2 linked regions of the Anolis sagrei genome follow. The protein of the gene in region 2 purifies or fractionates together with the protein of the main gene of each other region. This does not show direct contact. Links are inferred from orthologs where the notes say so. Each region holds a gene or a part of one and is shown on either strand. Other genes may lie near its edges.

Region 1 (12,201 bases), on a different chromosome or scaffold from region 2:
TAAAGCTTTAAAAAGCTTCGGTCCAAATTACTTGTCCGAACATATCTCCCCCTCTGAACCCGCTCGTAGATTGAGATCTCCTGGGAAGCTGCTGCTCTTGACCCCACCGGCCTCACAGGGCCTTCTCAGTGGTGGCCCCACGGCCGTGGAACTCCCTCCTGAGTGAGATCAGGTCAGCCCCCTCCCTCTTGACCTTTAGGAGACAGCTATATACCTGACAGCTATATGCCAAGTGTTCAGCCCATCATAGGAATACTTAAAGTGAAAGTTGAAAGTGCAATGCCCCAGAACTGTTTACGGATTAACGGCTATGTCTTTGTGTGATGTGTGATCTTATTTTATGTGATGTGTTCAATAATGTTTAATCAGGGGAGGATCAATTTTGATGTTTTATAGTGTTTCTTATCAATGGCATTGAATTGTGACCAACACTGTGAACCGCTCTGAGTTCCCTTAGGGGTTGAGAAGGGCGGTATACAAATATCACAAATAAATAAAATAAATAATCTAAATTACTTAGAAATTATAAATTATTTGCATTCACCATTGATAATCTAAAGAAGAGAGAATAGCATTTCTGTCAACTCAGAATATGTATCATTCAGTAACAGAGAACCTGCTGTTTTGAAACTGCTTGAATGTAATTCTGTTGTACAAGTTATCAGACACTTTTGCTAAAACCTCAGAGAATGATAAGAAACATTAACTTACTGATGTAATCAATGTATTTTTAGAGCACTGCCACACAACAGCTGCTCATTTTCATGTAGCTGATCAAGACTATTGCTTCCCCGAACAAAAGGGAAAGCAGTTACTGGAAGCTGCCTCCATTTGCTAACAAAAGTATAAATTGAAAGGATTACACTAGATACCAAAGAAGAAGAAAGCTTATCAACAGGACTGGCAAGGAAAAAAAGTTCAAAGTGTTTACCCCTGTCCTCAAATTTTATTTTAGATTAAGGACAAAAGAAAACAACACACAATTAGAATATTGTTATTTGATTTAAATAAATAGAAAAATGTTAGCATTTTAATGTTCAGTTCCATTCCTAATGATTTCAAACATGAAAGCTGCATTTTTGATTCACACCGAACCCATGTTCATGTAGAATGCATTTATTATTATTATTATTATTATTATTTTGCATATTTCTACCCCGCCTTTCTCAACCCCCGAGGGGGGACTCAGGGCAGCTTACAAAAGGCACAATTCAATGCCTACACAAACAATAAAAATAAAACATATATAAACAGCAATTAAAACAATTATAAACAATTAAAACAATCAATTATACATCACAATCAATAAAATATTTCTTGTTTAATTAAAACAAGTAGTAATTATGATTACTATAAATTTATTAGTTTAATTAACTTTACATTTATTAATATACCAGTAACTCATTTGCAGGTTCCAAAACTTGTCCGCTTTGCATAGTCATTGGCAGCAAAGCATGGTAGCGCATATAAAATTTTACAAGTGGGTTGTGGCCACATTTATATAGAGTCTATTAAACCTGAATTGTTTCTTACATGTATTTTTGCTTTTTTATTCTTATGTAACATATTTTCTTAATTAAGAATTATAAACATATCTCTTAAACAAGTGCTAAGATGAGAAACCAGAAAGATCTGGCAAATAAGGCCTCCGTTGATGATTTTACACACACGCAAATTCCGAAGCTCCTTGAATAATTACTTGGGCCATTTCCCAGAAGTAATAAAAGCTGTTTGCAGAATATTTATGATGAAGGGACTATGATATCCGTAATTACACTTGCTTCCCTTTTACTCATTCTTTCAGTAACCACTAGTCTGATGGGAAATATGGTACTCTTTAAAGCAGTTGTCATTAGATGCATTACTTAGGAGAGGAATACAGCACTATTTTAAATGAAGGCCTTATGAAAGTCATTAATTGAAATTATGGTTTCACTGAAGCTTTTCCCTCTCATTTTTCTCATAGCTCAGAACTGAAGTCGTCTTAGGCCATACGCAAGACTTTACCACACAGGTTGTGAATCTTTTAGGGAAACACAACTTGTGACATTATCACACCAGGGCTTTAGTGCGGACTGCCCCGCATTTCTATCACCTGCAGAATTCTGGGAAATGTAGTTTAGGGTGGAGCCTTTTGGATTCTCAGCTACAGTGGTCCTCACCTTCCCAAACTACATTTCCCAGAATTCTGCAGGTGGCAGAAATGCCGGGTTGCCCGCTTTAAAGACCTGGTGTGATAATATGGTTTGTCTTGCCAATTTGCTGCTTGTGGGACACCTGAATCTTGATAATCTACATTTCTTGCCTGGTTGAGTGTTACAGAATATATAACAGCTATCTAGGATTTTTCTTTGGCTGCAAAAGAATTAAGGTCACAGTCAATTTAGAACTGATTAACTACCAAGAAAAGAAGGCATAATTTAAGTATTCAGTTTAAACTAAGTTTTATTTTGTAATGCATAATTTTCTGAACAAATATAGGCATCCCTCACTTTTTAATTGTCTTCTCTTTCAAACCTTTTCAGTAATAACTGGAATTTATTAATTTACAGTGTGGTTCACTTTTTTGGTCACATGGAAAATTAATGAGTTTAGGTTACCTATAATTCAAAAAGTTCAAAGGAACAGAGGTGTGTGTGTGTGGGGGGGGGGTCTTTCCTGGGATAATCCTCCTTTTTGTGAAACACTCTCCTGCTACCTAGGAAATAGTCTGAAATAGGCTGGAGCCACTTTCCACTGCTTTTTGGGGAACTGCCTATCAGGTAAAGGCAAAGTTGCTGCTATTGTTTAATACTCAGATGGTGCAGCATGATTCACTGTGCGTCCATCCACAGTTGTTTGTGATGGGCCCAGCTGCTATACGGGATTTCACTCTGGAGTATAAAGAAAAATGGAGTAGGTCCCTCATTGGAAATACATTCCTTGGTCACATCTACAGACTACATGTGAAACCAGCAGAGATGGAAGCAGTTTTTGGTGTGCGGATGTAGAAAATCCTAATATTGCTTCAAGGCCTAAGTGGTGCTTATCAAATTGATTCCAGAATCTGCAATGTCTGCAGCTTGACAACTGGGGAGAATCTAAGATTTTTTAAAATTCGGCCCTCCCTAATTGCATATGTGCAGACTGCCAAAGAACTTCACAAGTGCACATTATGAAAGAGCGAGTTAAAAATTACGCCCACACGTGCTGACACACATTATGGGCTATATTTCAGAGTATCCTGCAACTTTATCTCAGTTTAAAGCCCTTAAAGTGCACTGCAGGGCTTAATCGTGGTGTGCATCATATAAACACTGAGCTGTCAGGCTGCCTTTGAAGTGCATTCAAAGATTAGTTTGAATGTGCCCCATAGGGCTTCCTGGAGGGGAAGCTGTACTTGGAAAGATTTGCTGGGGATGCCAGTCATTACATGTCATTTTCCTTGCCTAATGCTGTCCAGTAACTGTGGCTACTACTGCACTTAAAACTGAACACAAAAGATGTCACTTTGTTTGACTCTCTTGCAACCATGTCCTGCTTTCATTTTAACAATTTCCCTTTGGGAAGGACCAGCACAGTGTTGTGGTTTGGGCTCTGGACTACTGGGTCCAAATCCCAGCTCAATAAAACGCATTGGATGACCTTGGGCAACCTTCTCTCTCAGCCTCAGAGGAAGGCCATCGCAAACCTTTCTGCACTAACACTGCCGACAATATGCTGTGGAGTTTGCTTTAGAGTTATGACAAAGCTGGAAGCTCTGCAAGGTTTGCTGCTGCCAATACCACATGTATCCCTTTATAACTTTTACGGCTTGACTGAATAAAAGGCACATGTGGAAAATGTTAAGGCTCAGGGTGCCTTCACAGCACCCAATTATAGCGCTATGACCCCACTGTAACTGTCATGGGGTGCATCTACACTGTGGAATTAATGCAGTCTGACACCACTTTAATGCTATGGCACCTTGGGATTTGTAGTCTGGTGTGGTATCAGTCCCCTTTGGCAAAGAAGACTAATGTCATTGCAAAATGACAACTCCCATGATTCCATAACGTGGTTGTTCCAGTGTGCCTTCCCAGAATAGGAAACTCCTAGCATTATGTCCCAACACACTTTATCAGAGATCTAGGATATCTGCATGCCCATCCCCCTCCAAAACACTCCACCTGGTCATGCCCAGCACTTTTAATTTTAATTATTACATTTGGCACTGCCATTGTTTTTAATTGTGTCATTGTGTGTTGTCAATGTTATTGCTTTGTTTTCTGAGTTATTTTGCTGTCTGTTGTTGCTGTTGTTTTTACTATTGTATTTGGGCTCGGTCTCTTGTAAGCCACACCGAGTCCTTCGGGAGATGGTAGCGGGGTACAAATAAAGGATTATTATTATTATTATTATTATTATTATTATTATTATAACATAGAGTCATGGCAGTTAAAGTGGTGTCAAACTACACTTATGGCTGCATCCTACAGAATCCTGTGATGATGATGATAAAGATAGAACTGCAAAGACTCTGGCACAAGCCAGTAAAGGTGGTCCCAGTGATGATCAGCACACTGGGTGCCTAAAGACCTTGGCCTGCATTTAAAAACAATCAGGACTGACAGAATTACCAGCTGTCAGCTGCAAAAGGTCACCCAACTTGGATCTGCACACATTATTTGCTGATACATCACACTGTCCTAGACACTTGGGAAGTGTCTGGTGTGTTATCAAATACAAAAACCAGCACAGTGATCTTGTTTGCTGTGTACTAATCTTGTCGTGTATCAAATAATAACAACAACAATAATAATAATAATAACAACAATGCAATGACACTAGAGCTCCCTGACTGGGAATTCAAAGTGGCCCTTCCGAAATTAGAGGTCCTAAGATGGAACCGTGGCAGTTAAATGCGATGACATAGTTTTAACTTTATAACAATAATAATACTTTATTTATAACCCACACTATCTCAAGGAGCTTTGAAGCTTGAAAGGGCCCCATGTTGGAAATGACAACTTTCTTCAAGCCTTCTCTAATAATGTATTGTCGAAGGCTTTCATGGCTGGAATCACTCAGTTCTTGTGGGTTTTTTCGGGCTATATGGCCATGTTCTAGAGGCATTTCTCCTGACGTTTCGCCTGCATCTATGGCTCACCTCTGAGGATGCTTGCCATAGATGCAGGCAAAACGTCAGGAGAAATGCCTCTAGAACATGGCCATATAGCCCGAAAAAACCCCACAAGAACTGAGCTTCTCTAATAATGTTTATCTATGATCCTGTTGCTTATTGTTTCCTGTATATATGTTCTGGTGTGCAGCTTCCTTTACTCTCTAGTTCCTTAGAAGACTTCAGACGTCGGATCACACACTTGCATGCTGTTTTGCTGTAACAGATGTCCTGGCTCCAGATGGCAAAGAGAATTATCTCAATCATATCTGAAACTGGACTGATAAGTTGTGTAGCTGTGTATGCTGAACATATGAAGGCCGTAAGTAAACCAACTATGTTATTTTTTATCCAAGTCTACTTCATTTTTGTCTCTTGAGTTCATGATATAAACAAGTTGCTTTATGGGACAGTATATATGTATATATATACACTAGGCAATGGTTTCAGTTGTTAGACTGAATAACCTGTTACCTCTGATCTGTTAGGAAAACAGAGATCTGCCAGTGCATAAAAAAGCAGTGCTTCAGAAGTGTTTTTCAGTGTCCTTTTTATGCACTGGCAAATCTCTGTTTTCCTAACAGATCAGAGGTAACAGGTTATTCAGTCTAACAACTGAAACCATTGCCTAGTATAATTACACCTGGTTGTATATCACAAGAGAAGATTCTACTCTAAAGAGTTTTTGGCTCTTCTGGGAATGGTCATGCTTTCCTTAAAAAGTTTTAATCTCCAAAAGGTTATGAATGCCATTTTCCAAAAGCCCAAGCCTTTCCCCACTGAATTCGAGCCTAAATGTAGGTGTAATGTCCTCTTCTCCGTTACCTGAGCGGGAGAGACGGGCTGAGAGAACGGGGAGGGAACCCTCGCTGCCTCCTTCTTTTGAAAGCCTTAGTCAGAGATGACGGGTACGGCGAGCTAGATTGGACAAACTTCCCGCGGGTGCTCACCGACGCTTGCGCAGAAACGTCTCCTCGCCCTCCAATGGGAAAGGGGGGGAAGATGGCATAGGAACCCGAGACGTGTCAGGAGGCCGAGAAAGGCGGGAAGACGCCTCCTATTGGTCAGAGCGGACCAATGAGGGCGCTTCTGAAAAAATGATTGGCAGGCTCAGTGGATGAGGAATAGAAGGGGGGGAGAAGGAAAGGATACGTCAGCCGAAACGTGGAGGTAGGTGAATAGCATAAGTCTGGAGTGAAGCGGTCGAGCGGTGGGAGGGAGGGAGGGAGGGAGAGCGGAGGAGGAGGGAGGAAAGAAAGGGGGAGGAGCTTCGAGCGCGAGACGCGTGCCTGGGCCAGGCTCGCGCCGAAGGGGGCGGGGCTACGGTCGGTCTCTCGGGCCGAAGGAAGGGAGGAGGAGGAGGAGGAGGAGGGGGGCGGGGCCTGGCTCTTGGAGGGAGGAAGGGAAGAAAAGGGGAGGAGCTTCGAGCGGGAGGCGCGCGCCTGGGCCAGGCACGCGCCGAATAGAGGAGAGAGGAAGGGGAGGGGGAGGAGGAAGGTAAAAAAGAGGGAGGAGCTTCGCGTAGGAGGCGTGTGCCTGGGCCAGGCTCGCGCCGAAGAGGGGCGGGGCTACGGCCGGTCTCTCGCGCCGAAGGGAGGGAGGGAGAAGGGGGCCTGGCTCGAGGAGGGAGGGAGGAAAGGGGAGGAGCTTCGAGCGAAAGTCGCGCGGCTTGGCCAGGCTCGCGCCGAAGGGAGGAGGGGGCGGGGCCTGGCTCAGGGAGGGAGAGAGGTAAGGAAGGGGGAGGAGCTTCGAGCTGCAGGCGCGCGCCTGGGCCAGGCTCGCGCCGAAGGGGGGCGGGGCTACGGTCGGTCTCTCGCACCGAAGGGAGGGAGGAGGAGGAGGGGGCGGGGCCTGGCTCGTGGAGGGAGGGAGGAAGGGAAGAAAAGGGGAGGGGCTTCGAGCGGGAGGCGCGCGCCTGGCTCAGGCTCGCGCCGAACGGGGGCGGGGCTACGGTCGGTCTCTCGCACCGAAGGAAGGGAGGGAGGAGGGGGCGGGGCCTGGCTCGTGGAGGAAGGGAAGAAAGGGGGAGGGGCTTCGAGCGGGAGGCGCGCGCCTGGGCCGAAGGGGGGCGGGGCTACGGTCGGTCTCTCGCGCCGACGGAAGGAAGGCAGGGAAGGAGGAGGAGGAGGGGGCGGGGCCTGGCTGGTCTCGCGCCGCCGCCGGGGGCCAGGGCGCGAGCGGCTCTCTCTCTCTGAGGTAAAAGGAGGAGCCTCTCCGCCGCTCGGATCGAAAGGAAGGGAAGCCGCGCCTGCTTGGAGAGCTACAGCTGGCCGGGGGCAGGAGGTAGGCTGTTAGCCGCTGGGCCTTCTGTGTGGCTTCGAAGCTGAGGCAAGGGGAAGGGAAGGGGGTCGGGCGGGGCCTTGCCTGGCCAGCTGGAGCCAGGCCCTCTCCTGCCCCAAGGCCTCCCTCCCTCTCTCTCTCTCCATGGAGGCCACACTCAAGGGGGAGTCCTCTTAATATCGCCTTTCCTTGAAGGGGAGCCCTTCTCTTCTCCTCCCCCCTTCCTTTCCTCATAATCTCTCTGCCTCTTCCTTTCCCTGCGCCCCACCCGGTTGCCAGGCATGGCTTCCTGGAATACATCATCTACCTGCCTCTTTTCCTCGGCTCTTCTCCCCCCCTCTCTGTTTTCACAAAAAGCCATTTTGCTTCAGATAGATATTCTGGCGCTCCATCCTCCCTCCTTCTCCAAAGCCTACTCCTCGTTTTAGAAACCATTATTGAGACACAATACTTTTAGGGGCACAAACCTGTTTTACTGGGGTTTTGTTGTTGTTTTTTATAGTCTAATCATTCTCAATTCTGGGAAACCATGGGAGCTTTCTGCCTGCCGCTAACAATCAATTGGTGTGAGAATATGCCTTGCTTTTCATACATTAAGGCAGGTATGAAATGTGTCAGGAGGCCGAGAAAGGCGGGACGATGCCTCCTATTGGTCAGAGACAGGGCCTTTTCTGTGGTGGCCCCTCGGCTATGGAATTCCCTCCCAAATGAAATTAGATCTGCCCCCTCTCTCCTGACCTTTAGGAAGCTAGTGGTACCTGGCTGTGCAACAAAGCTTTTGTGGAACGATGTCTCACACCGGCAATCAACTAATGGTACTTTTTTTTTTTGGTCATGTCAGGAGTGACTTGAGAAACTGCAAGTTGCTTCTGGTGTGAGAGAATTGGCCGTCTGCAAGGACGTTGCCCAGGGGACGCCCGGATGAATTGATGTTTTTATCATCCTTGTGGGAGGCTTCTCTCATGCCCCCACATGAGGAGCTGGAGCTGATAGAGGGAGCTCATCCGCCTCTCCCCAGATTCGAACCTAATGGTACTGATCACAATATATGGACTGGACATACGGACTGAGTTGGACACGATTTTATCTTTGCGAAAGGCTTTTATGTAATTTATGTAATATGTAATTGGTAACTTAATGTTGTGTATCATGTTTTAGATTTTCAGTTTTAGCATTGAATCATTGCTGTTAGGCGGTCCGAGTCCCTCTGCAGAGGTAGAGAAGATCGGGATATAATTTTTTTAAATAAATAAATAAGGGCAAACTTGGTCCCTCCAGGTGTTTTGGACTTCAACTCCCACCATTCCTAACAGCCTCCCTGAGAGGGAAAAGGAAGGAGCCTGAGGCTATTAGGAATGGTTCGAGTTGAAGTCCAAAACACCTGGAGGGATCAAGTTTGCCCATGCCTGCTCTAGCTACATCATCACAATAGAGAATGAATTCACTTTAAATCCGATTTCTGCCTCCTGCAGAATTCTGGAGTTTGTAGTTTAGTAAGGCTGTTAAAGGTGCCTCCTTAAACTACAAACCCCAGAATTCTGCAGGAGGCACCATCTGGATTTAAAGTGGAGTGACTTTGGGGCATATGAATGTTCACATCTGAGAAGTTGCTGTGTTGAGTTTAGCTTCAATAAATGTTCCTCCCATACCTTACAAATTAGAGAGACGATTGGCCAACACTAACGTTATGAAGTTCAATAGTGACAAATGCAAGATGCTCCACTTAGGAAGAAAAAAATGAAATGTAAAGATACAGAATGGGGGTTACCTGGCTCGAAAGAGCAGTACGTGTGAAAAAGATCTTAGAGTCCTCGTGAATAACATGAGCCAACAATGTCATGCGGCGGCAAAAAAAAGCCAAAGGGATTTTGGCCTGTAAAATAGGAGTATAGTGTCTAGATCCAGGGAAAAGTCATGCTACCCCTCTATTCTGCCTTGGTTAGACCACACCTGGAATACTGTGTCCAATTCCAGAGATGTTGACAAGCTGGAATGTGTCCAGGGGAGGGTGATTAAAATGATCAGGGATCTGGAGAACAGGCCTTATGAAGAGCTGCTTAAAGAGCTGGTCATGTTTAGCCTGCAGAAGAGGAGGCTGAGAGGAGACATCATGGTCATGTACAAATATGTGAGAGGAAGTCATGGTGAGGAGGGAGCAAGCTTGTTTTCTGCTGCCCTGGAGACTAGGACATGGAACAATGGCTTCAAGCTACTGGAAAGGAGATTCCACATGAACATTAGGAAGAACTTCGGAACAGTGAGAGTTGTTCAGCAGTGGAACTCTCTGCCTTGGAGTGTGGTGGAGGCTACTTCTTTGGAAGCTTTTAAGCATATGGATGGCCATCTGTCGGGTGCTTTGAATGCGATTTTCCAGCTCCTTGGCAGGGGTTGGACTGGAAGGCCCATGAGGTCTCTTTCAACTCTGTGATTCTATGAAATTGGCACATGGATGACAAGCATGTAGGAAGCAGTCTTGCTGGTATGGAGGGGAGCATTTACTGATTAGATATTCTTTGAGATAGTGGATAGGGCGAGGAAGAATGCTGTGCAATGGTTTTATCTTTCATAATTCCGTTTTGTCCTTAATTCTGATTGGATTATGAAACTGCCTTGTTCTGGTAATTCTTTCTAATGGAATGGGGTGGCCGTCATGCTGTGAAACTAACTGAAATATTAATTTGCAGCCTTGGATTTTGACAGTCAGCTTTGGTAATTTCTAGGATTTTTTTTTTAATCTCAGGGTAGTAACCTTGGGGAAAGTGCTGTGGTGAGGCCTTGAACTATTGCTAGCTAGAGTGCATAATTCCCCAACTGGGTGCACTGGGCTGTATCATGCTTTCAAAAATACGTATTCCTAGTTGCAGAAAGATATTATTTTCATCTCCATTCTCAACCCATCCTCAGTCAAAAATTGGTCTTGGGTTTAATTCAGTTTTGTATAGTTTAGACTCCCACAATTCCCAATAGCCGGTAGGAATTGCTGTAAGGTCGCCCTGAGTCCCCTTATAGGGTGAGAGGGGCAGGATACAAGTATGTGATATAAATAAGTCCAAAACACTTGGAGGGCCCAAGTTTGGCTGTGCCTGGTTTAGATGGAGCAAAAAGGGAAAAAAAACAACTAAAATGATCTCAATTATGTATTTTAAATAATTTATATCATGTTTTGATGCAGTCTCTTTCCATATTGGTTTGCAATAGGTAAATTGTTTCATATAGTATGATCCCTTTATCCACAGATTCAGTATTTAATATTTAGTATTGCCCTCCTAGTTCTCTGGTCAGATTCGATTATTTCCTTTTGGCCCAAGTATAGTCAAAATATATGCTTCATTATCCACAGTTTCAGTTGCCCACAGGGTTGATGGCCTTATTCCCATCAGATACAAAGATCATATAGTACTTAATGAAAACTTGTATCATGCACAGTTGATCCTGTGCTTCTAAATTCCTTACATCTCACTTGGGAGGGCTTCTGTTCCAGGACTCATTTACCGTTCCTTTAGCCACTCCTCTCTGATTCATTATGCTGTGCTTATTCCTGAAAGTCATTCCTTGATTATGCCTTCCTCTACTCTGATTACATGATTCTTCATTAATTGTCCAGCACCGCAGATCTGACTTGAAGATTTGAATTCTTCAGATGTGCTATATGACCAAAATCTTTAGAGCATATGTCTCTAATGTCAACATAATTTTAGAACATATATTTAATTTTATTGTATACATCTTGAACAGTTTTCCTGTTCTATTAATGAATTGGTAGTGTGCAGCAAACCTTTATTTCTAGCAAAAGAATGATGCATGTTAAATTTATAATATATAAGTGACACATACAAAAGGAAAAAAACGATTTGAAGGAAAGAATGTTAGAGCAGTTAGGGAAAAGTGCTGAGCTTTACGTTTTAAAAAGTATTGCTCTTTTTTTTTGTATTAGCTGTGTCCATGCTGTGCATGGACATTTTTAGGAAGGGTGGTCGTATTTGTAGTCCATCATATCTGGGCACCAGGTTTGGGGAATCTTATTTATGGAGTTGTGAAACCTGGAATTGTGATGTTAGAACAGACAGTACAGCAGATGCTGTTAAAATAATGAAGTAAGAAATAGCTAGATTAAGAGAATGAAATAAGAGCATTACAAAACAAAAGAATCCTGTATGTTTAGTAAAATGTAAAGAATTGTAGTGTTATATCATTATTTGTGCAGACAATAAGCTATCCAGTAATTACTTTATCAACATTATAAAGTGATTGATTCCTATCACTAAGTGAAATTCTTCAACTTGAGTGCAATATATAAATCTTAACTTTCAGTTTCCAGGACAGATACTAGAAAGTGCTGCTTGACCTCCAAAGTTCCCCATTTTTTAAAGTTGCTCTCTTTTTTCACATATGTTGTGTCTGAAATGGTTTGAGAGAGTCTTGTGGAAGAAAGCACAATTTTCTTAGTGTCTTTAGTTTCCGGTAATTCAGGATAAGGTTCCCTTAGAACTGGTTACAATAGGATGATGGTGCAATAGAATGGAAAGGCTGTCTTGCCATTGCATGTAAGAGGCTCCTGGGTACTGGTGAATGTGTCTTCAGCAGTTAGCATTACCAGTTTTTCCACTGTATGTGGTGAGAAAAAGTGTGCCTTCAAGTCACTTCTGACTTATGGCAAATCTCAGGCAAACCCATCATGGGATGTTCTTGGTAAGATTTGTTCAGGGCACTTTTGCCAATACCATCACTATATCTTTTTAATTGTTCACTAGTTTAATAGATGGTGAGAATGCTGTGAAATT
Region 2 (12,061 bases):
GCCGGACCACCGCGGAGCCGCTGGGCCGAGCCGGGGCACGGGAGCGCCGCTGTTGCAGCCGCCTTTGTGACGCCTCGCCTCACCATCGCTACCGCCGCCCTATTGCTACCGCTGCAGCGACCGGGCTGCCTCGCTATTGCTGCCGCCTCCCATCGCAGCCATCACCATTCGGCTCACCACCTTGTCACAGCGGCTGGAATTCGCCTTTGCCACCAGCTAACAGCGACTGTGTTGCCGTGTTAACTAATTTTGTGTAGAACTTGTATGTGCCTGGACTTGTATAGACCTCTTGTGCTGACCTCAATTAATGTGTAGACCTCGTGAGCTGGCCTTAATACTGTGCAAACATCCTGTGCTGGCCTAATACTGTGTAGATCCCCTGTGCCGGCCGAATATTGTGTAGACCTCTGTGCTGGCTTAATATTGTGTAGACCTTAATATTGTGTAAACCTCTTGTGCCGGCCTAATATTGTGTAGACCTTTGTGCTGGCCTTAACACTGTGTAGACCTCTTGTGCCGGCCTTAATATTGTGTAGACCCTTGAGCTGGCCCCCTTTGGATTGATAGATACACAATAGACCAACGGCGCTGACCGCCGCTGTGTATACCACCTCCGGATGTCCCATCCGCTCTTAGACCAACCGTCTAGAGGTACACCTGAATCATAATAATTTTATTTAATTGTTATTACCATTATCCTCGTAAGAGTGTGACTATATACTACTATCATATCACACTCCTTGGTTGTCCCCGCTGCTAGTTGATATAAGAACACAACAGCACTTTAGGGCGCCTGCCACTTGCTGCTAAACACCACTTGCACTTACGCCCCCTTCCCTATCCCTCTATGCCGCACCTTAGTGAATGCTGAGACCCAGTTTCAGGTACCTACTGCACTTTAGATCTTGCACTTTATGTATGTGCCGAACGGAACGCAGTGTGTTGTCAACCGAGTGGTACTACTGACTGTGTCGCACTTAAGACTCTTGCACTCTCGCACTTTACAAACTATCTAACGGGTGTGGCTGAAACGCCTCTACCATCTGAAGCTATTGTCATCCATGTGGCCCCCCCACCCCCCTGGTAGTACTGTCCCTGTTACTACTAGTTAGCGGAAAGGTCAGGGGAGGAGGTGGGCTGGAGCCCAATGGGGCCGGGAGGAGGGAGGAAGGGGAGAAAGGGTGTTGGCAGGATCCAACAAATCATACAGCTGATGAAGCAGGAATTAAGTCCTTGATATTAGATCGCGGCATGGAGGGGGGGAGGTGTTCCACTAGCCGAGGGGCCCCCATAGAGGTCGTGGTGGGAAGGAGGAGATGCGGAAGAAGGAGACCTCGAATTCGGCCTAATTCGGACCGCTTATCTAAATTAACAATTCCCAACCGGTCTCCTAAGGTAAATTGGTGTAACCAGGTGAGCGGGCCCTCGGGATTGAAGGTGGTGCTGCTGAACGCCAGATCTGTCAATGGAAAAACGACCTGGATTCAGGACCTAATCCTGGAGGAGCGGGCAGATCTGGCGTGCATTACGGAGACCTGGTTGGATGAAGCTGGAGGTGTAAATCTGACCCAGCTTTGTCCTCCAGGCTTCTCCGTACAGCACCAACCGAGATCCGGAGGACGGGGAGGCGGGGTCGCAGTGATCTATAGAGATTCCATCCATCTGACCAGGAGCCCCATCCCGCAGACCACAAATTTTGAATGCGTCCACCTGAGGGTGGGTGACCGGGACAGAATAGGGATTCTGTTAGTGTACCGTCCACCTCGCTGCACTACAGTCTCCCTACCTGAGCTAGCGGGGGTGGTCTCGAGCCTGGCGTTGGAGTCCCAACGGCTTCTTGTGCTGGGGGACTTCAACATCCATGCCGAGGCGACCCTCACAGGAGCGGCTCAGGACTTCATGTCCGCCATGGCAACCATGGGGCTGTCCCAACAAATAACTGGCCCCACCCACTGTGCTGGACATACATTGGACTTGGTTTTCTGCCAGGGATGGGAGCAGGGTGGCGGTGTGGAGGAGTTGTCCATCTCTCCGTTGCCGTGGACTGACCACTTCCTGATCAGATTTAGACTCACTGCGCCCCCTAACCTCCGCAAAGGTGGAGGACCCATTAAGATGGTCCGCCCCAGGAGGCTTATGGATCCGAATGGATTCCTGACGGCTCTTGGGGACTTTCCCGCCACCTCGGTAGGTGACCATGTCGAGGCCTTGGTCGCTCTCTGGAATGGGGAGATGGCCAGGGCAATTGACATGATCGCTCCGGAACGTCCCCTCTCAAGTAACCGAGCTAAACCATCTCCTTGGTTCACTGAGGAGTTGGCAGCGATGAAGCGAAGGAAGAGGGAACTAGAGAGCGTGTGGCGCTCAGACCCAAGCGAGCCAAATCGAGCACGGTTTGTGTCCTTTTTAAGGGCATATGCCGCGGCAATAAAAGCCGCAAAGAAAACTTTCTTTGCGGCCACTATTGCGTCTGCAAAAAACCGTCCGGCGGAGTTGTTTCGGATTGTCAGAGGTCTTTTGACTCCCACCACCGCAGGTGGGAGCCCTGACAATTCGGCCACGCGCTGTGAAGCATTTGCTCGGTTCTTTGCAGACAAAGTCGCTTTGATCCGTTCTGGGCTGGACACCACATTAAATGCAGTCTCTGTGGATGTGACACGAGCGCCTGCTTGTCCTATTTTGATGGATTCTTTTCAGTTTGTGAAGCCCGAGGATGTGGACAAGATACTTGGAGGAATGAGGCCCACCACGTCCATCCTAGACCCCTGCCCATCCTGGCTTCTGAGGGAGGCCAGAGGGGGATTGGCTGAGTGGGTAACGGTGGTGGTTAATGCCTCCCTTCGGGAAGGCAAGATTCCAGCGAGCCTAAAACAGGCTATTATAAAGCCGCTGTTGAAGAAACCATCACTGGACCCCACTAAATTTGACAACTTTCGGCCTGTTTCCAATCTTCCCTTTTTGGGCAAAGTCATGGAAAGCGTTGTGGCTTCACAACTCCAGGTACTCTTGAGAGACACGGATTATCTGGATCCGGCACAGTCTGGTTTCAGACCGGGACATGGTACCGAGACGGTCTTGGTCGCCTTAGTGGATGATCTGCGCCGGGAGCTAGACAGGGGGAGTGTGTCCCTGTTGGTGCTCCTGGACCTCTCAGCGGCCTTCGATACCGTCGACCACGGTATCCTTCTGGGGCGCCTTGCGGGAGTGGGTCTTGGGGGCACTGCTCTGCAGTGGCTCCAGTCATTCCTGGAGGGACGGACCCAGAAGGTGTTATTGGGGGACTCCTGTTCAACTCCACAGCCTTTGACCTGTGGGGTTCCTCAGGGTTCTATCCTGTCCCCCATGCTGTTTAATATCTACATGAAGCCGCTGGGTGAGATCATCCGGAGTTTCGGGGTGCGGTGTCATCTGTACACAGATGATGTCCAGCTCTGTCACTCCTTTCCACCTGCTACTAAGGAGGCTGTCGAAGTCCTGAACCGGTGCCTGGCCGCTGTAATGGTCTGGATGAGGGCGAACAAACTGAAATTAAATCCAGACAAGACAGAGGTACTCCTGGTCAGTCGCAAGGCCGAGCAGGGTATAGGGTTACAGCCTGTGCTGGATGGGGTCGCACTCCCCTTGAAGGCGCAGGTTCGCAGCTTGGGTGTAACCCTGGACTCATCGTTGAGCCTGGACCCCCAGGTTTCAGCGGTGACCAGGGGAGCATTTGCACAGCTTCGGCTTGTGCGCCATCTGCGCCCGTACCTTGGGAAGTCTGACTTGGCCACGGTGGTACATGCTCTGGTCACATCCCGTCTTGACTACTGCAACGCTCTCTACGTGGGGCTGCCCTTGAAGACGGCCCGGAAGCTGCAGCTAGTCCAGCGCGCGGCAGCCATGTTGTTAACAGGAGCAGGACGCAGGGAGCATACAACGCCCTTGTTGTTCCAGCTCCACTGGCTGCCGATTTGCTACCGGGCCCAATTTAAGGTGCTGGTGTTATCCTACAAAGCCCTAAACGGTTCCGGCCCAAAATACCTTGCGGACCGCATCTCGGCCTACGAGCCCACGAGGACCTTGAGATCATCTGGGGAGGCCCTTCTCTCGATCCCGCCTGCCTCACAGGCACGTCTGGCGGGGACGAGAGAGCGGGCCTTCTCGGTGGTGGCCCCCCGGCTGTGGAACTCCCTCCCTGCTAACATCAGACAGGCCCCCTCCCTCATGGCCTTTCGTAAGGGCCTGAAGACTTGGCTCTTCGAGCAGGCTTTCAACTAAATGCTACGTTACGGGTAATGACAACCGGATTGAACTATGACTACGAGATTGACTATGATTCCATAAATATGACGGAGCGGATTTTTAGTGTAAGTTAGATGTTATGTATTAGTGATGTTAATTGTTGTTCTGATTCCTTTGTAAAGTGTCCTTTTTGTACTGTACACCGCCGCGAGTCGCCCTAGGGCTGAGAGCGGCGGTTAACAAATGCAAGAAATAAATAAATAAATAAATAAATAGTTGCTGGGATTTATAGTTCACCTACAATCAAAGAGCATTCTGAACTCCACCAATGATGGAATTGAACCAAACTTCCCACACAGAACCCCCATGACCAAGAGAAAATACTGTCTCCTGATGGTCTTTGGCGACCCCTCTGACACCCTCCTCGCGACCCCCAGGATGAGAAACACTGCCACAGATCTCTTAGAAGCTTACCAAAAGGTCAAGGTTTTCCCTTGACATGAAGTCCAGTTGTGTCCGACTCTGGGGTGGGGTGCTCATTTCCATGTCTAAGCTGAAGAGCTGGCATTGTCCATAGACACCTCCAAGGTCATGTGGCTGGCATGACTGCATGGAGAAGCCTACTAGCCTCCCTATAATAATAATAATAATAATAATAATAATAATAACAACACTTTATTTGTACCCTGCTACCATCTCCCCAAGGGACTCGGTGCGGCTTACATGCCGAGCCCAAACACAACAATACAAGCAATAATCACAACAATACAAGCAATTAAAATAAAACATAAACATATAACATTATCAATAAGACTGTGCCAGTACAGCTGTACCAGAAGCTCCCATTTTGTTTGCTTTGCATTGAATGTTTGTTATAGTCCCAAGTTTCAGGGACTCTGCAGATAGGTGGCTTCTTTTGGCTGCAATCATAGGGCAAGCCACCTGTCAATTATTGTTAGGTTCCCTGGTCCTGCCCCTTTTTGAGTTTTGGAGGGAATAGGAGCCTTTTTGAGTCAGTTCTCACAGAGAAGCCTTTCGCACAGGACATAAAACGAAGAGCTCCTGTAGAAAGCTTCATCTTCTACGGCTTGGCCGGGGAGATATACAGCCTACAGCTTGGCCAGGGTTATACAGCCCACAGCTTGGCCGAGGATCATACAGCCTTTCAGCTCCTTTGCTGAGGGACTTCAGCCAGCCATCACAGCAACCTGAATTCCTTCTTTTCCCCTGGAAGTCTACAAAGCTCTGTTGGGGCAAGGGTCGCTTGTGGAAGCCAGATGCAGTTGGTACCGGGTGCAGGGGCTCCATGCCAACAGAGGCAAAGACAGACTGCCCAGATTGGAAGTTAAGGATTTCCCCATTAGTTATTATATAGTTATGAAGATAGTGCCTGTTCCCAGTGAACAAGATTGCAAGAGCCTATAGACTGTTATGAAAACTTTTAAGTACCTGTTTGTTTTTTATCAATAAATAACTTTGTTGGACTTACTTTAAGCCTCTACAGAACTTTGGGGGGGTCCAAGGGCCTTTAATCTGAGGCAGCCCCGGCGTCCCGTTGGGCACACAGAATTTATGTCCTGTCTACAGTCATATGCAGATGACACCACTCTGATGGCCGAAAGCGAGGAGGAGCTGAGGAGCCTTCTAATCAAGGTGAAAGAGGAAAGTGCAAAAGCTGGGTTGCAGCTAAACATTAAAAAAAACAAGATTATGGCAACAAGAATGATTGACAACTGGGAAATAGAGGGAGAAAATGTGGAGGCCGTGGCAGACTTTGTATTTCTAGATGCAAAGATGACTGCAGATGCAGACTGTGGCCAGGAAATCAGAAGACGCTTACTTCTTGGGAGGAGAGCAATGTCCAATCTCGATAAAATAGTGAAGAGTAGAGACATCAGACTGGCAACAAAGATCCGCCTAGTCAAAGCCATGGTATTCCCTGTAGTCACCTACGGATGTGAGAGCTGGACCTTAGGGAAGGCTGAGCGAAGGAAGATCGATGCTTTTGAGCTGTGGTGCTGGAGGAAAGTTCTGAGAGTGCCTTGGACTGCGAGAAGATCCAACCAGTCCATCCTCCAGGAAATAAAGCCCGGCTGCTCACTGGAGGGAAGGATACTAGAGACAAAGTTGAAGTACTTTGGCCACATCATGAGGAGACAGCAAAGCCTGGAGAAGACAATTATGCTGGGGAAGGTGGAAGGCAAAAGGAAGAGGGGCCGACCAAGGGCAAGATGGATGGATGGCATCCTTGAAGTGACTGGACTGACCTTGAAGGAGCTGGGGGTGGTGACGGCTGACAGGGAGCTCTGGCGTGGGCTGGTCCATGAGGTCACGAAGAGTTGGAGACGACTGAACGAATGAACAACAACAACTACAGTCATATGCACAGGCCCAGCGCGCGACAGCACAAAGACAACAAAAACCCGATGGCTGAACTGTAAAAGGATGCAATTTCGTGACGCGCCCACAAGATGGCGCCAAAACCCCACATTGGAGCCGCAAAAGGCGCTTCTACCAAGGGTGCTGTTCTCGTTGTGTCCACTGGAGGGAGGCAAAGAGAACGGCCAGTAGGGCATTGCAGTGCTGCTCAGGAAGAAGCTCATTGGGAGAACTAGCCATCTTCTGCGCTGCCTGGGGATAATGGGGACTGATGTCCAACACAAGCCCCTCAGGAGAAAGAATCAAAGGAGGCTGAGCCATCAGCCCTCCATTGTGACGGAACTAATAACCAATTATAACAGGCACGGGCAAACTTGGGCGTTCCAGGTGTTTTTGGACTTCAACTCCCACCATTCCTAACAGACTCAGGACCCTTCCTGAGGGCCTGAGTCTGTTAGGAATGGTGGGAGTTAGTCCAAAACACTTGGAAGGCCCAAGTTTGCAAGGCCTACCTTATGAAGAAGCTGATTGGCGGCTCGCGGTAGGGGCGGGGCCTGTAGCTGGCCTATCCCGAGCGCTGCTTTTTGCGCGCGCCTTGCTGAAGAAGGAGCGCATGCGCCAGGGGAGCCCGCTGATTTTCTTTTGCCGGTGGGACAAGGTTGCCATTGCTGCGTGTCGCGGACTTTCTTCATCGTCGCGGGATGTGGGCCGGGACCGGTGAGGGAGCCGAGAGGAGGGAAAGCGGGGCCGAAGCAAGGGAAGGCTGTGGGGGGGGAGGAGGAGGAGGAGGAGGGGGGGAGGGGGCTTCTTTGAACATGTCTGAACTCAAGGGAAATAGTTGAAGCCCTCAAAGGCTTGAGGCCTAGATGTCGGGAGGATGGAGTGCCCCTCCATTGAAGGGCCTGCTTGAGGTCTTAGGCCTGGTGGAGGGGTGGCTTCTCCTTGTGCTCTTTTCAGAGCAAAATACTGTGATTTGGGGCCTTCTGGGAATTTTAGTTTTTGAAAAGACTCTTACAGCAGGCATGTATAACTATTATACTATGATTCTATGACAGGCCTGGGCCAACTTGGGCCCTCCAGGTGCTTTGGACTTAATAGTAATAATAAAACTTTATATATATCCCCTCCCATCTCCCCAAGGGGACTCGGGGCGGCTTACATGAGGCCAAGCCCAACAACACATCAGTAAAACAAGACAGCAAGCAAATAAAACAGTACAATTAATATAACTCACATATAAGCAATAACACAAAAAATTAAAAATGTATGGCCATAAATAGATTAAAATTTTAAAATAAACACTACGCGAACAGAGGTAGGATGTCTCTAAGCAGAAGGGTTTTAAAGGATAATGTAGGAGATCAACCCAATGGGTAGTTAAGGTGCTTCTGAGGACATTTTGCTGGGAATTGGTCAGAGCAAGGCATCCTTTAAGCGGCTGAGAGGGAAAAGGAAGGGGCCTGAGGCTGTTAGGAATGGTGGGAGTTAAAGTCCAAAACACTTGGAGGGAGGGCACAAGTTTGCCCATGCCTGGTTTAGAGGGCATGCTTATCAAGTTTCCAAATGACACCAAATTAGGAGAGATAGCCAATACTCCAGAGGACAGGATCAGAATTCAAAATTACCATAACAGGCAGTGACAGACTTTGTATTTCTAGGTGCAAAGATTACTGCAGATGCAGACTGCAGCCAGGAAATCCAAAGACATTTACTTATTGGGAGGAGAGCAATGACCAATCTCGATAAAGTAGTGAAGAGTAAAGACATCACACTGGCAACAAAGATCCGCATAGTGAGGAAGACCGAGCGAAGGAAGATAGATGTTTTTGAACTGTGGTGCTGGAGGAAAGTCCTGAGAGTGTCTTGGACCCTGAGAAGACCCAACCAGTCCACACTTCAGGAAATAAAGCCCGACTACTCATTGGAGGGAATCTATTAGAGGCAGAGATGAAGTACTTTGATCACATTTAGTGCCCAGATCGAGGGAAGTCATGGTGCTTCTCTATTCTGCTTTGGTCAGACTTCACCTGGAATACTGTGTTCTGGTCACCACAGTTTAAAAGAGATATTGACAAGTTGGAAGGAGGGTGACTAAAATGATTGAAGATCTGGAGACCATGAATCCCTATGAGGAGTGTCTTGGAGAGCTAGGTATTTTAGCCTGCAGAAGAGAAGGTTATTTATTTCCTAATGGAGACTCAAAGTGCCTAAAATTACAAATCATACAATTAAAACCCACAGAAGCAATAAAATAGAAATAACCGGACTTTAAAAAAAAACATGGTAAAATCACTTAAAAACCTGTTACTCACGTAACATAATTGTAAGTTAATAAATAATTTTAGCATGTATATTTACATTTGTGTGTTGTTTTTCTTGCCTGCCACCTGAGATTTCTGTACAGAGGGCATGCTATAAATATTTCAATTAATAACTGAATTCCTTTGCCCAGCTCTTGATGTCGCAGGTGGAAGTGTGACATCTGGCCTGCACCCATCTGCCATCTGTCAGAATGTGCAGTTGGTACTGATGGATACACTTTAACCTGTTTCTGATCTATTTCCAATTTGCTCCCTACTCTTAAACCCCAGAGACTGAGAAGTATGAAAGTAACTTTGCAGCTTTGCCCTATTATTTTTATCTTTTGAATTTCAGGTGGCTATGACAGTGCATATGGGGGAGGAGGAGGATATACACAATCGCCTGGAGGCTTTGCATCCCCTTCTGCGACACAAGATGAAAAGAAATCGGTAGGTTTCAAGGTGCAGGTTATGACCTACAAAGCACCTATCTTTGTGACTGCATCTCCCCCATGAACTGGTGTGGGTCCTTAGATCCATTGGGGAAGCCCTCCACTTGCTCCCACCATTTTCACATGCACAGTTGGTGGCGATGAGGGAGAGGGCCTTCTTGGTGGTGACCCCACAACTTTGGAACACCCTCCCCAGGGAGATTAGGCAAGCCCCTACACTGTCCTCCTTTCATAGGGATCTGAAAACCTGGATGTTCCAACAAGCATTTGGGAATGACTAGTCTCTACTTATAAATGCCCAGTCCCTAGTTCTCCAGATAGTACTCTGTTCTCGGCACTTTTCCCAATCCCCGACCTTATGCTATGCTGTTTTGCACTATCCCATGCCCAGTCCTTTTTATAGCCTGATCAGGTCCATCTCAGTATTTTTAGTTATCGTTTTTTGTCATTCATTTTTTGAACGAGTCTTAATGCTGTTGTTTCATACCTTAATGTTTTACTTAATTGTGTTTTTATCTGATTGTTATGCTTTGCTATGTTTTATTTTAATCGTGTTTTTTGTTTTAATGGATTGTTTTGTTTTGATGTTTTGTGGACATTTTGTCCTATGTTTACGCCGCCCCAAGTCCCTTCGGGCAGATTGAGGTGGGGTATAAAAATAAAATTGTTGTTATTATTATTAGCTTGCATGAAAAAGCCAGGACTTCTTTTCGAAATGGGAATGGAGGTTTTCCTTTGAAATAGTTTTCTTTTTTTCTGAAAGCATGGCCTTATAAGATGTTGAGGCATAAAAATAATTCCTTTTACGGAATAACATGTTTGTGTTATTCCACTGAGCACAACACATTAGTATTATTTGTTTTCAGAGTTAATTGTTAAGGGTGACTGGAAGAAAACAGATGGGATAAATGTTTCTGAAACTTACGTAGTTCTCATAATTTTACAAAAATATTGACATAGCTTTTTTTTGTTATCCTGGATTATTTGCTGGCATGTTCTGGCAATAGCTGCCACTTTTTGTTTCTTCTGTCTGATTGGATTTTTTTAAATTCTAAGATATATCAAATCAAAAGCATATTTGTTTTTGTGACTCATGCAGTGCTTTGTGGAAAATTTTTCCAGTAGTGTGGACATCGGCAGCAGGATGAATATAATGGCTGCTCTCTGTCCCACCACCTTTGTAGGTGCAACTGGTAGGGACGAGAGGCAGGACCTTTTCAGTGGTGGCCCCTCGACTATGGAACTCCCTTCTAGTGGGATTCGGTCAGCCGCTTCCCTCTTGGCCCAGCATAATTATCTGTGCAGTACAGTTGGAATTGGCCCTGGATTGATGAATATGATTATTTGATTATCTGGCTTTGGATCTATGCACAATAGTAATCTAATATTTACAAATCCTAACACCTTGCTGTATATCTTAAGAATGTGGTTGTTGTTGTTGTTTTTTTAAGAAACCCTCATAGAAAGGAGTGGTGCCATTTCAAATCATAAGGGCTTATCTTTAGTTCTCATTCAGGAATTCTCTACAGCTTTAGTTAATTGTTGTGTGGATCACTTGGTTGCATCTTGTCCAGTGATGATTATTAAAAATACAGTATTTCTGATATTCTTGTGTCATTTTTCTTCTGCTTCTCTTTTAAATTGATTTAAAACCTGTTCTAGACTATGTGTTCTTTTGATAGAGGAAGTAAAGATTTTGAGTTTTTATATTTCCTGATTACAGAGGACAAGATCACAAAGTATTATTCCTTGTACAGTGTCTCAGTTACTTTCAGCTGAACAAGTGGATGATGCTTTCAGGGTCCGAGAAGTTGAACTTTCACAGGTAAGCATTCTCCTTCCCACACTATTATTTATTTATTTACGACATTTATATGCCGCCCTTCTCACCCCAAAGGGGACTCAGAGCGGCTTACAAGTAAAAAGTAAATACAATATATTATATTATTATCATAGCACAATATTAATATTATATATTACACTGTACTATAACATTATACTGTAATATTATTAGTAATATTACATTTAATATAAAATATGTAATATACTATGGAATCAATGGGCCTGGGGAAGTCTGTGTATTGTGCTAGCCATCTGGATTCTTCTACCAAAGAGGATTAAATTGCAGTAGTAACATGTACACTCATTTATAAATCAACCTCATGTATAAGTCAAGGGCAGATTTTGGGTCCAAAATTATGGATTTTGATATGATCTGTGGATAAACCAGCATCTCCTTGCCCATACATTCAAAAGGGTAAGAAGCATTTTCACAGCAGAAAGAGAAGATGCAGTCAGTGTTTCTTTTAGGTTTTCCTAGGAGGGAATAGTTCTTTTTTATATAACTGCTAGCGCTGACCTGTGAATAACTTGAACCAGGATTTGGGGGCTGATTGTTTTGACTAAAATTTCTAGACTTATACATAAGTATATAGGGCCTCCTGGTGGCGCAGCAGGTTAAACAGCTGAGCTGCTGAACTTGCTGACTGGAAGGTTGGCGGTTTGAATCCGGGAGTGGGGTGTGTTCTTGCTGTTAGGCCCGGCTTCTGTCAACCTAGCAGTTCAAAACATGCAAATGTGAGTAGATCAGTAGGCGCTGCTTCAGTGGGAAGGTAAAGGCACTCCATGCAGTAATGCTGGCCACATGACCTAGTAGGCATCTACGGACAACGCCGGCTCTTCGGCTTAGAAATGAGATGAGCGCACTAC

Evidence for each region.
Region 1: the proteins of RPA2 (region 2) and RAD52 purify together in Homo sapiens (affinity purification with western blotting; 3 studies listed by BioGRID and IntAct, with this or other methods). This does not show direct contact. The link is inferred for Anolis sagrei from reciprocal best matches to the Homo sapiens genes RPA2 and RAD52.

Annotation. Positions count from the first base shown.
Region 1 is NC_090025.1:178,592,774-178,604,974, forward strand, and holds the start of RAD52 (DNA repair protein RAD52 homolog), read right to left. Parts: upstream 6,152-12,201; 5' UTR 5,966-6,151; intron 1-5,965. UniProt on the Homo sapiens protein: Involved in double-stranded break repair. Plays a central role in genetic recombination and DNA repair by promoting the annealing of complementary single-stranded DNA and by stimulation of the RAD51 recombinase.
Region 2 is NC_090034.1:86,978,737-86,990,797, reverse strand, and holds the start of RPA2 (replication protein A 32 kDa subunit), read left to right. Parts: upstream 1-7,212; 5' UTR 7,213-7,301; coding exon 7,302-7,317; intron 7,318-9,255; coding exon 9,256-9,350; intron 9,351-11,075; coding exon 11,076-11,177; intron 11,178-12,061. UniProt on the Homo sapiens protein: As part of the heterotrimeric replication protein A complex (RPA/RP-A), binds and stabilizes single-stranded DNA intermediates that form during DNA replication or upon DNA stress.